Drosophila melanogaster: one gene and its partners. The protein of the gene in region 1 interacts with the protein of each later gene in a biochemical or structural test. Each region holds a gene or a part of one and is shown on either strand. Other genes may lie near its edges.

The links.
Region 2: of the proteins of dco (region 1) and ci, one has a biochemical effect on the other in vitro, tested with the Drosophila melanogaster proteins (one study listed by BioGRID).
Region 3: of the proteins of dco (region 1) and per, one has a biochemical effect on the other in vitro, tested with the Drosophila melanogaster proteins (4 studies listed by BioGRID, with this or other methods).

The regions. Positions count from the first base shown.
Region 1 is NT_033777.3:31,059,610-31,063,366, reverse strand, and holds the start of dco (discs overgrown), read left to right. Parts: upstream 1-2,156; 5' UTR 2,157-2,290; exon of another isoform or gene 2,291-2,902; 5' UTR 2,903-2,992; intron 2,993-3,757. UniProt on the Drosophila melanogaster protein: Serine/threonine-protein kinase which is involved in the circadian rhythm pathway, viability and planar cell polarity.
Region 2 is NC_004353.4:54,589-58,345, reverse strand, and holds the start of ci (cubitus interruptus), read left to right. Parts: upstream 1-2,014; 5' UTR 2,015-2,477; coding exon 2,478-2,515; intron 2,516-3,757. UniProt on the Drosophila melanogaster protein: Has a dual function as a transcriptional activator and a repressor of the hedgehog (Hh) pathway. The full-length ci form (ciFL), acts as an activator (ciA) while ciR, its C-terminally truncated form, acts as a repressor. Involved in segment polarity.
Region 3 is NC_004354.4:2,683,800-2,687,556, forward strand, and holds the start of per (period), read left to right. Parts: upstream 1-1,780; 5' UTR 1,781-2,101; intron 2,102-3,757. UniProt on the Drosophila melanogaster protein: Essential for biological clock functions. Determines the period length of circadian and ultradian rhythms; an increase in PER dosage leads to shortened circadian rhythms and a decrease leads to lengthened circadian rhythms.

The DNA of each region.
Region 1 (3,757 bases):
AATATTTGCGCTGTATAGGAAAAAAAATTAGCGCAGGCAAATTAATTTTTCCCCCACTTTTTATGTTTCATAATCAAACTGGAGCAGAAAGGTCGAAATGCATCTGAATGCGCTCGTGGGCGGGGGGCGTGGCGGCGGATGCGACGACCGCTTGACAATTTGCGACTTGCCATGAAATCGCATTATTTGATCTAAGCCGCCGACGAGCAAAAAAGGAAATACAAAAATCTTCAAGCCGACTGCTAAACGAAACCAAATGGCGCTTTTTTTAACTGCTGCGTTAGAAGCAGAAGCCCAGGGGCGTCGTGCAAAAGGGGGCGGGGCAGTGGGAGCCGCGAGGAGCTGGAAGCGCCCAGATATGCGACATGTGTTGCGGAAATATTTTGCGAGCAAGAAAAGCAGCAAGGCGCAGAGTCAGGAAATATGCAAAAATACAAAAGGGCACTGCAAAAAAATGAGTGATTAAAGTTTTTCAAATATTATTCAAAACCAGTACCAGAGGCAGCTAAGTCTGTCGTCTGATTCGTATTTTTATTTAAAGAATAATATCAAAAACAAGTTTATATTGCGTGTTAAAAAAAAATACAACAAAATTAGGAAATAAATTGTCTTAGTATCCCAATAATGTGGCATACTTTTTTACAGTGTTCTTTGAATGGATCATTTACATACACGCGTCTCGCTCGGTTTTTATTGCTTCGCACCTACATATTTGGTTTACTTTTTTCGTTATTTATTTGTTGGTAGTTGACCATCGGTCGAAATAACGACGATTTTCATTCGTCGGCGATCGCACGTCTTTGCGTGTGTGAGTGGGAAAGATATGCTTTGAATTAGTGTGTGTGTGTGAGCGGTTAAACGAGTTGTTTTCTCGTTTTACTTGTTGTATCTTCAATTGCCTCGTTGGATTGCTTTGTTTTCTCTTTTTCCCAGCCAATGGGAGACAAAGGCGGGTTTTTACGAAGATCTTGAACGATTCACCAATAAATTGAAAATGGAGATTTCTATAGTTGCATAAAAAAAATGCATTCTGGCTAATGTATATAAATACAGCAATGGAAAATTAAAATCGTAGGCAAGTGCAATTAATGTGATTTATTTTGTCTATATTTCATTTTAAATTGCCAGCCCCAATATCGAATCGTTACACTCTTTTCACCCCTTTTTTTGTTATCATTTTCGAGTGATTGCTTATCTACCCTACCCCCACTTAAAAAGAAACACACCTTGGCACATACTCCCAAAAAAAAAAAAACACATTTTCTCATATATGCATACATAACTGGATCTGCTTCCTTTTTTTATGTCATCGTTTCTTGGGTTACACAGCCGGAAAATGCACGATGTGAGGGTAAATGGGGAAAGCGGTTGGGCGGACTAATGGAATTCACACGTGTTTTGCTTTATTCGTATTGCTGCAATAAAAGTATACGTTTCAGGTATTTCGATACATCTGTGTAACATCAAAATTGGCATGCTACCTATAACTGCAAGACATGCCAATGAAATCCATTTTCAATTTCTATTTACACGAGAATTTGGAGCACAAGCCTGTAAAAAGAGTTAACAACTTTTCTTAAGAACATTGCAAATTAAGACATAAATTTTATTTACATATTATTGAGTTATCAAATTTGTATATTAGTATAAATATCATTTCAGAATGATTTTTTTTTTTTTGTATTGTTTATTGTATTCTCTTTGAAAATAAAATTAAGCAGATGGGCCTTTGAATGCATAATTCAAAAACTTTCAATAACTTTAGATATTTTCAATTGCATTTCTGAAATAAGGCGCCACCTTTTGTTTCGGGCGCCACCTGGATACCACTTTCGCCAACTCATCCGCTAGGTGGCGCAGCTCAAAAATATTTTTCGTCCATCTGGCAGCACTGGGTCTATGTAAGAACTAGTGTGCCCATATAACAAAAACAGCGTTGTCAACTTGGCTATTTCACAGCTTTCCAGTTACTCGAACTTTGAACTTATGGCTAGCTGCAAGGATATAATTTCGTTTTTCTTTTGATTTTCCAATACTCTTGCGCTATTTTCTTAATGTGGTACTTCGAAACCAACTTTGGACTATCTTAACTTAGTATATGAATCACAGTTTTTCACAATTACATATCTTCTAGACATTCGCTGAGGAGTAAATACCAGATGGTAATTTTCTTCATTATCGGCGCGGTCACACTGCGAATATCAAGATGGCGTAAATTTGTAAAAAATCGTCGAAATCTATGTGAAATAGCCAGAAAAATTGAAACGAAAGCGCAGCGTTGATGCAAAACGTAAGTGGTCAGTAGCGTTTCGGATCGACAGACCCGTTTGCGAGCGAAAAAGCGGCGGTTACCACGCGCAGGAAAACTCGAATTTCCCAACAGCATTTCAGTGCTCATTGAGAGTGCGAGTGTGTGAGTGAGTGCCCTCGTCTTTGTGTTGGTGTGAAAATGCTGAAGCAGGAGGGATAGCAACGTGCTCGCGGTAGAAACCGTGCGAGTGCGGGCGGGACGACTAGTGTGCACGAATCTATTGCCAGGGCAAACGACTCGCATAAGTTTGGTTTTTTTAATAAGAGTCCGAGTTCCGTTTGGTTTCGTTTAATTTTCTCGAGTTGATTGGCAACAAGATGCTAATCAATGTGGCCATAAAATCAGAGAAGAACAGCATAACCGACTCGAAGATAAACGATAAAAATAACTGAAATATGGCAGCAATGCAGTATTATTAAAATTATTGCATAAAATGCGCTTGCGTGTGGCCCCAAAAAGTGCGACTGTGTGCGTGTGTTTGTGTGCGACTGTGGCAACTACAACAAAAACAACGTCTGGGCTCTAAAACAAAGAAAATGAAAATTATTGTGGCAGAATCAATCCAATTAAAAAATTCGATTTCGATTTCAGTCGAATTAGAAGAAGGAAAAGCAGCGTCGCCAGCAGAGGAAGTGGGCAAAGCGGAATAGGAAACAAGGAATATAAGAAAAACAAGCCACGGTAAGTGCGGAATTTGTTCCACTGTGCGTTCAAGTTTCCCTTCTCCACCCGCTATCGGCTGCTCCTTATCAGCCCCGTTATTCGCAGTGCATTCGTGGAGTGCCGTTAGTTTTCGGAGGCCATTAGCGTTTGACAATTAATTGCAAGTTTCCTTCCCCTTCTGAGGTTTCCCCGTTGGTTTTGCTCTGGTTTTTGGTTTTTCCATTTGCTCTTCCCTGTTTACTTAAGCTTTTTACTTTTGTGGCGCCTGCTGGAACAACTGTTTTTTGTATCTTCTTTGTTCTCCAGTGCGTTTTTTTGCGGAAGCTTTTCGGCAGCCGCCAACGCAACGTGCAGCTGTTTTGCAATTGTAATCAATTCGTGTTTACCCGCTGGTCCGAAACAACTGCTGGATACCCTGGGAAATATTTAGTTACCAATAGGAAAGACCGCGTTTTCCCTGCTAGCCTTCCAGTAAACAAATTAAAGCTCCTAAAATTAATACCACATTTCAATTTGACTTACAGTGCTTATACAGTGATTTCTTTCTGTGTAGAACATGGGAGATACAAATAAAAAACGGTACATTTCGGTTAAATAAATCAAAGCCAAGGCGAAAACAACAACAAACACAGGCAGGTTTTGAGGTTAGAACCGCAGAGTGAGTGATAAAGAGTCGGGAAAAGGAGGAGAGAGAGAGAGAGAGAAAGAGAGAGAGCGATCGAAATGCGTGAGCGGTAAAAGAAAGCGCACAGAATGTGGGAAAGAGGAGTGGGAAGGGGTTAG
Region 2 (3,757 bases), on another chromosome or scaffold:
TTTTTTAAAGAAAGGATGTGGCTTTCTTAATGTTCCTTATTATTATTGAAATAAACTGGGTATACAAACTTTTTGAATCTTTTATTTTATATTATAACCACTACGAGTACACGGGCGAGAAGGCATTAAAGTATAGTAACATAATATAAAATATACTATGGTATTTATACAAAAAATTTTGTCATAACAAATATTTGTTCGGTATAAAATATATGTACATATATACATACGATGCAAAGTATATAACGGCCACAAACTGCCGAAGACTGTCACACCCTTTTAAAAGTGACTTTTAAAAGTGATGTACCAAAAAAAAGTCATACCCACTTCGAACGATCACAAATTACAAAACCCTTGGAGGTTTGCAAAATACCTCTTTTTGAGATTAAATATATTATCAGTTTATTTCTTCAAAAACACCAAAAATTATCAGTATAACTTCATCACCTACCCATTAATATAAAACTTAACTAGTTAAAATCACCTTTAAAGACGGGGTTAAAAGACAGATGCCACCAAAAAGTACATATGAATATTCTTGGACAGCCATATTCACTGAATATTAATGGCATAATGAAAATAATTATGCTCTCCACTTTATTCGATAAATTTTACTAAATTTGACGACTAATTATGTAGCTTTATCAAAACTGTGGCTTGCCAAAGCTATCTTGTACTAGGCACAATTATATTTAATAGTTCAAGTCGCTTTTTTTTTTAATTACACGCGTTATGAACAAACAAGTCTCCGAAATTGTATTTTTCTTTAAGTAGTGTGTCTTTACTATTAAATACCTTTTTCAATAAACACAGCCAAAATTACTAATGCAGTTCGGAAATAGACGCGTTTCCATCATTAAAGTAGAACATTGATTGACATGAATTTATAAACTTTGTTATATTGCTTTGTTTAAAACATTGTCGTTATACTCACCTAGATCGTCTTTAGACCGCAAAATGTCGTCTAGGTTAAAGCCGTATATCAGATAAAAGAAATTGATTGACCCTAGCCGAATCAATCTAGTTATGCCCGTACGTAATATCGTGTCGGAAATTATAAATCCAATTTGGTTCAAGACAGTGTTGTTGAATTGACCAATACAGAACTAAGGGGCGAAGTGTTGCAATCGAAATATTAATTTTCAAAATTTATAAACAAGTATTTAAGCGCTGCCAGAAGTAACATTTATTTAAGCATCAACATTGCTATAACCACATACCCAAGGGGTTGGAAACATTTTAATTGTTGGATTGTTAGATTACCGAGTCTACTACCTTATTAACATCATATACTATTTAATGAAACTAGTATACCCAATATACCCATAAGATAGGGGTAAAAATTCGATGCATTAAGTACACTGAGTGCAAAAATACTGTGTCGCAAATATTACACCAAACCAGTCTTGATAGGATAGAAAACAGTTATGTATGTTTTCATCAAGAATGCTATTCGCAAGGGCAAGGCTATAATAGATAAATACGACTACAAATACATGTTTGTATTTTAATATACTGGATATACTGGGTATAATGGGTACAAATATCAACGAGATAGCCAAAATCAAGATTGAATCGGGTGTACAAGCTACTGTAAGATTAATCTATATATATATATATATGTATGTGTGTATATGTATATAGAGATAGGCGTTGCCAATAACTTTTGCGTTTTTTGCTTAAAAATAATATTGTATCGCCGAGGACAAAAATTACCCACTGAGAGACACAAACTACTAGCGTAAAAATATCTATATTAACAGCACTGGCATCGAAAAGTATCTTAACTCACGTACGAGTATATGTATTGTGTGGCCATCTTCGATCTGCCCGCCTTCGCCGACTGTTCGTGATCCGTAGGTACACACAGACATTTAAATCACCAATGCACTTGTTACTGTATTGTATTTATGTTTGTGAACCTACACGTATCTATGTAGAATCTGTACAAGTATCTGTGTTTGGACAATGGCATGTGTGAGAGGAGATCCGAACTGCTCCATCTAAACTAACGAAGCATTGCAACAGCTAGTGTTAATGTCGCTCAGTCCACTCGTAAGAAACATAGGAATAAGACGCAGCATTCAAAAAATATTGACTTGTCTTACAAAACTGATTTTCATTGTTCGCTACTTAATATTTAGTGATAAATATATTACTTCGGGACTGATAATCTTATGAATATACGTGTGAGATTTGGCGATACCCTTCATTACTTAGGAAGCCGAGCGCATAAGCTCACACCATTATAATATTTAAGTGATATGAATATTAAATATTAAAATTTAAAACCAACTTTTTAATCAAAGAGTTTCCTTAAAATTGTTTAAGTTGCCGATCAAAAGTGGAAATTTATGCGTGCCGTTATTTGAAATACCAATCTTTTGAAAATGTTTACGCCGACGGTTAATATTATTTAAAAGGATAATTGAATTTATAAAACGACGTCATTCTTGTTGTGGACTAACTTTAATGAAATGGACGCCTACGCGTTACCTACATATTTTCCTCTTGCGTAAGTTTTTATTTGCATATTCGAGAAGTAAGCCTTACAATAGAAAAATATCTACATTTTTGTTTAAAACGAGGAATTTTAAGATTACAGTCCATGAAATGTTTAGAAATGTGTAAGTTAAATAATAACAATTAAATAATAATAATTAAATAATTAAAAAAATAAAAAATAACAATAATTATTGTTATTATTATTATAATAATTATATATAATTACATATAATTATATATATATTATATAATTATTGTTATTATTATTATAATAACAATAATAATAATAATAAAAATAATAATAATAATTTTAATAATTATAATAACTATGGTAACAATAAAAAAGAATAATAATAATAACGATTAACGGGTATAAAAATGTTTATTATTATTATAATTACTATTATTATAATTTTTATGATTAATCAATAAATAATAAACATTTTTATACCCGTTACTAGATTCGTTGAAATGAATGTAACAGGCAGAAGGAAGCGTCTTAGACCATATATAGTATATACATACATGTATATTCTTGATCAGGATCAATAGCCGAGTCGATCTTGCCATATCCGTCTGTCCGTATGAACGTCGAGATCTCAGGAACTATAAAAGCTAGAAGGTTTAGATTCAGCATACAGAGACAAAGACGCAAGTAGCCATGCCCACTCTAACGTCCACAAACAGCGCAAAACTATCACGCCCACACTTTTGAAAAATGTGTTGTTCTTTTCACATTCTGATTAGTCTTTTACATTTCTATCGATTTCTAAAAAAAAACTTTTTGCCAACGCCCTAAAACCGCCCAAAACTCCGACACCCACATTTGTAAAAAATTGTTGGGAATTTTTTTCATAAATTTATTAGTTTATTATTTATTATAAATTTAAGTTTATATCGATTTGCCGACAACATATTTTAATTTTTTTTCTCATTTTATCTTTTATCTATCGATATCCCAGAAAAATTGTGCAATTTCGCATTCACACTAGCTGAGTAACGGGTATCTGATAGTCGGGAAACTCGACTATAGCATTCTCTCTTTTTGAAATTGCGGACGTGCCCGTTTCTGCGGTTAAGAGCGAGCGTGGAAAAAATAATTTTTAAATATCGATAGAAGTCGTAATCTAATTTTGAATTTAAAACGCTGCATTCAAAGATATTGCTATGTTAACATCGAAGCTAGCCAAAAGAAAATTATGTTGGCGTTTACATAAAAATTATATAATAATAAATAGTAAATACATTAAAA
Region 3 (3,757 bases), on another chromosome or scaffold:
TCGCAATCCATATTCATGGGTCCACAGGTCCTCGGACCTACGCCACTTGGACGTTGAAAGGGTGGGCCTTGGGAACTCGGCTCTAATCCCGCTCACAGTCCGACCGACACTCACCCGAAATCACCACCCGGAATCCGATTAGCGGCAATCAAATGAAATCACAGCACATCAAAACGCGACGGGGAGTGGCGAAGTGCGGCAAGTCAACAGTCGCAGCATCAAAATCAAATTAGCAGCAGTTTGGTGGCTAATTCGAACGCACTTTATCATTTTCGGGCAGGCGTCTGTGACTTTGTGGCACGTGTGTGGCCGCGATAGATAAGAGCGAGCCCCAGCAAATGCCAGCAAACTCCGGCTAGCTTGGGCAAACACCACACACGTGGCCACAAAGGAGCTGCGTGTGGAGTGGGTGCCGGGTCAAATGGATTTTCACACCCACTCGACGTCGGCAAAGCCGCCAATTAATAGAATTCAATTATTCAAAGCCACCGCAGGCCGATGGGACGGCTGATAAGGCATAAAGACATCCTTGGGCACTTCGATCGGATTAGGATAATAAAAAATGCTCCGAAAAAAAAAGAAGTTGTGGGGTCCATAAAAATATGCTTTTATGAGGGGGTAGCTAAAATCATTTCCTATTTATCAGATGCCTCAACTTTTAACCCTTCAATTGCGAAGACTAAAAGCCAAATTCAATGCACAGAAATTGCAAGTAATAATCATTTGTAACTGCATAGCAGTAGTATCAGCATCGAACCGAACCACTCGACCGCTCGGAGTTCATCAACCCCTCGTGGAAAGACGGGGAATCCCCTGCTGGCAGGTATGTGTAACGCCACCTGTGGGCCACAGCGCGCAACAGCCAGCTGGGCGGAGGCGGAAAAGCCAGGGAAAATCAGCTGTCGCTATCATCCCACTCCGTACGTGTTTCAGCGCACGCCGCGCACACCTGCCCAGGTAGAGCTTCCACGGGACAAACGGGAAACAGAAGCCCCCAAAAGCTTGGCGCCACTTTCAACTTTTCATCCGTGCTAGAGAGCCGAGCTGCTAGACCGATGCACTGCGTTGACTGCGGACTGGCGCTCTGGTGCACTGCTGGCCGCACTTGGACGATGACCAGGTGGGTGGGTGAGTAATGCCGTTGCGAAATGCCAGTGCCAGTGCGAGTTCGCACAATTCATGGTGGGGCAGGGACGGGTCCGAGTGCAAAAAGCGTCCGAGAAAGCCGTAGGCAGTGAAAAGCCGCCGCTCACGTGGCGAACTGCGTGACTTGGCCAGCAAATCCGCCGCCCAGCCGGCTCCCCGGAAAACACCCCTCGGAAAACGTGCTGCCAGCCGCCCACCAGGCAGCCCCAAAAAGGCAGGGGATTCCATAGCTTTCCTTAACCTGCAGTTGGTGCGTGGGGCTTGGATTGACACTTGGCATCGGCAGTGCCATGTAACGTATCCCACAGCATAGATAAAAACCAAAAGAAACTAGTATTCAATAGAAGCTATGAAAAAGAAAGATATCCAACATTATAGCAATCTATAAATGGGGTTTCTTGCTATGGAAAAGGGAGTCTTTGGCATTCCAATTACTTGCTTTTGTTGTTCGCGCAAAAGCTTCGCCCAAGGGTTAATGTTTGGGTCCGAGTATCTCAGCCGACCAGCGATTTCCCGAGCGACTGCGATTCCCAGCGATTCTCAGCGACGGCGGAGAGCAGCGAGTGAGTGTGAGAAAATTCTGGGAATGCGAGTGCACGGGGGCTTATACACCGGAGCTTGCGATGCGAGCACTAGTGTTCGTGCGAATTTAGAGCCAGAAGGTCGACAACGCGTTCGTCGCACAGTAGAAAGTATTGCCATATACCAAATAAATCGCAACAACGACCTGTCGAATCACGCAAACAAACAGCTTCGTTTTTTTTTTTTTAATTTCGACCAGAAACAAACCGTTATTCTTTGGTGCCAGTGTTAGTGTCAAGTGTATCGAGCTGAGTGACATATAGCCACAGCCAAAAAGTGAGACCATAAGTGAGATTCCAAACAGAAGGCAGCAGCAGCCTAATCGCAGCCTAATCGCAAAAAAGTGCAGCTGGGTGAGAGCGAGAGCGAGTGTGTAAGTGCAATTGTCACGTTGTTGCAATAAAGCTGCAAAGAAAAATCTCAGCAAGAGGCGCTAGATAGACCATTATCATATTGCCAATACAAAACAACGCATTGGGCAGGCAGCTTACATAAATAACTCGGTTCATAACGTCCAATGGCGCACTTACACATATGTACATATAGTGTTTATTAATAAGTGCACGTTGCACACCGAGCAAAGCGTAAACAAAAGCCCACATCAAAATACCTGACCCTACCGAACAATGCTCCGGGAATGCCCCACCACTTCCTTCCTTGCAGTGCCAAACAAACATACTCTGGCCGCAGAATACGCATACGCAACGTGGTGCACCACTGCAGCCGCTTGCCTTCCGGTCACCTGGAGTGCAGTACTGCAGCACACTGCGCCTACGTGAAGTGAACTCATTCATATATGTAGCTACATAGCTCTAATCGATGCCCGGCATCCAATCTGGGTCAGAGCATATTGCGCATACGCAGCGTGTTCCCTTTTGGGCATTGCACCTTGGTATTTTCAGCTTATTTGCTGCACACACGCCACGTGGGCGCAGTAATTTCTGGCAAATTTGGAATGTCTATTAAAACCCCTACGATTTGGATAGCCGCAGTCGCAGTCGCGTTACACAAGCTAAACAGAGTACCACCATTAATAGCTCAACGTTCCCATTCGTGCCCCGAATTTTCCCACAGTCTTTCCCAGTATGTCTTGCCCCCGGGTTATGCGACTGTTATCCATGTCTGTCGCGCTTCCTGTGCTGCATTATCTAACATCCTCGGAATGACGCACGACCAATGTAATCCAGCAATCCAGAGGCATCGCGGCGGATTCGATTCGACCAGTTGGCCTTCTTGCTTTGCTGCGTCAAAGTTCACCCACATATGGGATGCGAACTGGGTTAACCAGCGAGTTACACAATCCTTGGTGGGTATAAACTGAAGGATTTGGGCAGATTGAGCAGTCGGTTGGAAGCCAGTTTGTTGGGCAAAAAAATGGTATTATCCAATGGAATTTTTCACCTTCTTTGGAATTCTTTCTTCTTGAATTCTGGGCCGTCGAAACAACTATCAGCTTGTTTACTTGGCCCATTTGGTTATCTTTGCTTTTAATGGAAACTCTGAAGAGCCTGGAATGGGGTCCACCCTAATGCCTGTGTGTCTGTGTAGTATTTTTGGGTTTAGTTGATTCAGCCAAATCGGAGAGAATGAACCTGGGTCTTATGCAATCGCTGAAACCGAACTCCTTGCCGAATTGAATGCTTGCTATATGCACCGATTACGACATAGTGGTGCATTGTGAGAAATATGAGTTCTTCGCTGCGTTCTTTTTTTGTAATTGCAAAATTGCTGAAAAGAATGTGTCTTCTACTGAGGTACAGGGTACATGGTTCTGAACTACACACTACACGTATCTAAGTATCTAAGTACGTATCTGCGAATCTGGAGCCGGGATGCATTGCGACTGCATAACGACATCCGTTGGCGGAGCGGCAGAGGCAACGCGAGAGCAAAAGCACATCGCACTGCACGTGAATGCAGCGTCGCGCCGTCTCGCTCTCGCTCCCGCTGCGCTGTTAATTAGCACAGTGAAGCCTCGTTGCAGGCAACCACCGTGTGGGCGACATTGTTCTCTATCTATCGTTCTGAG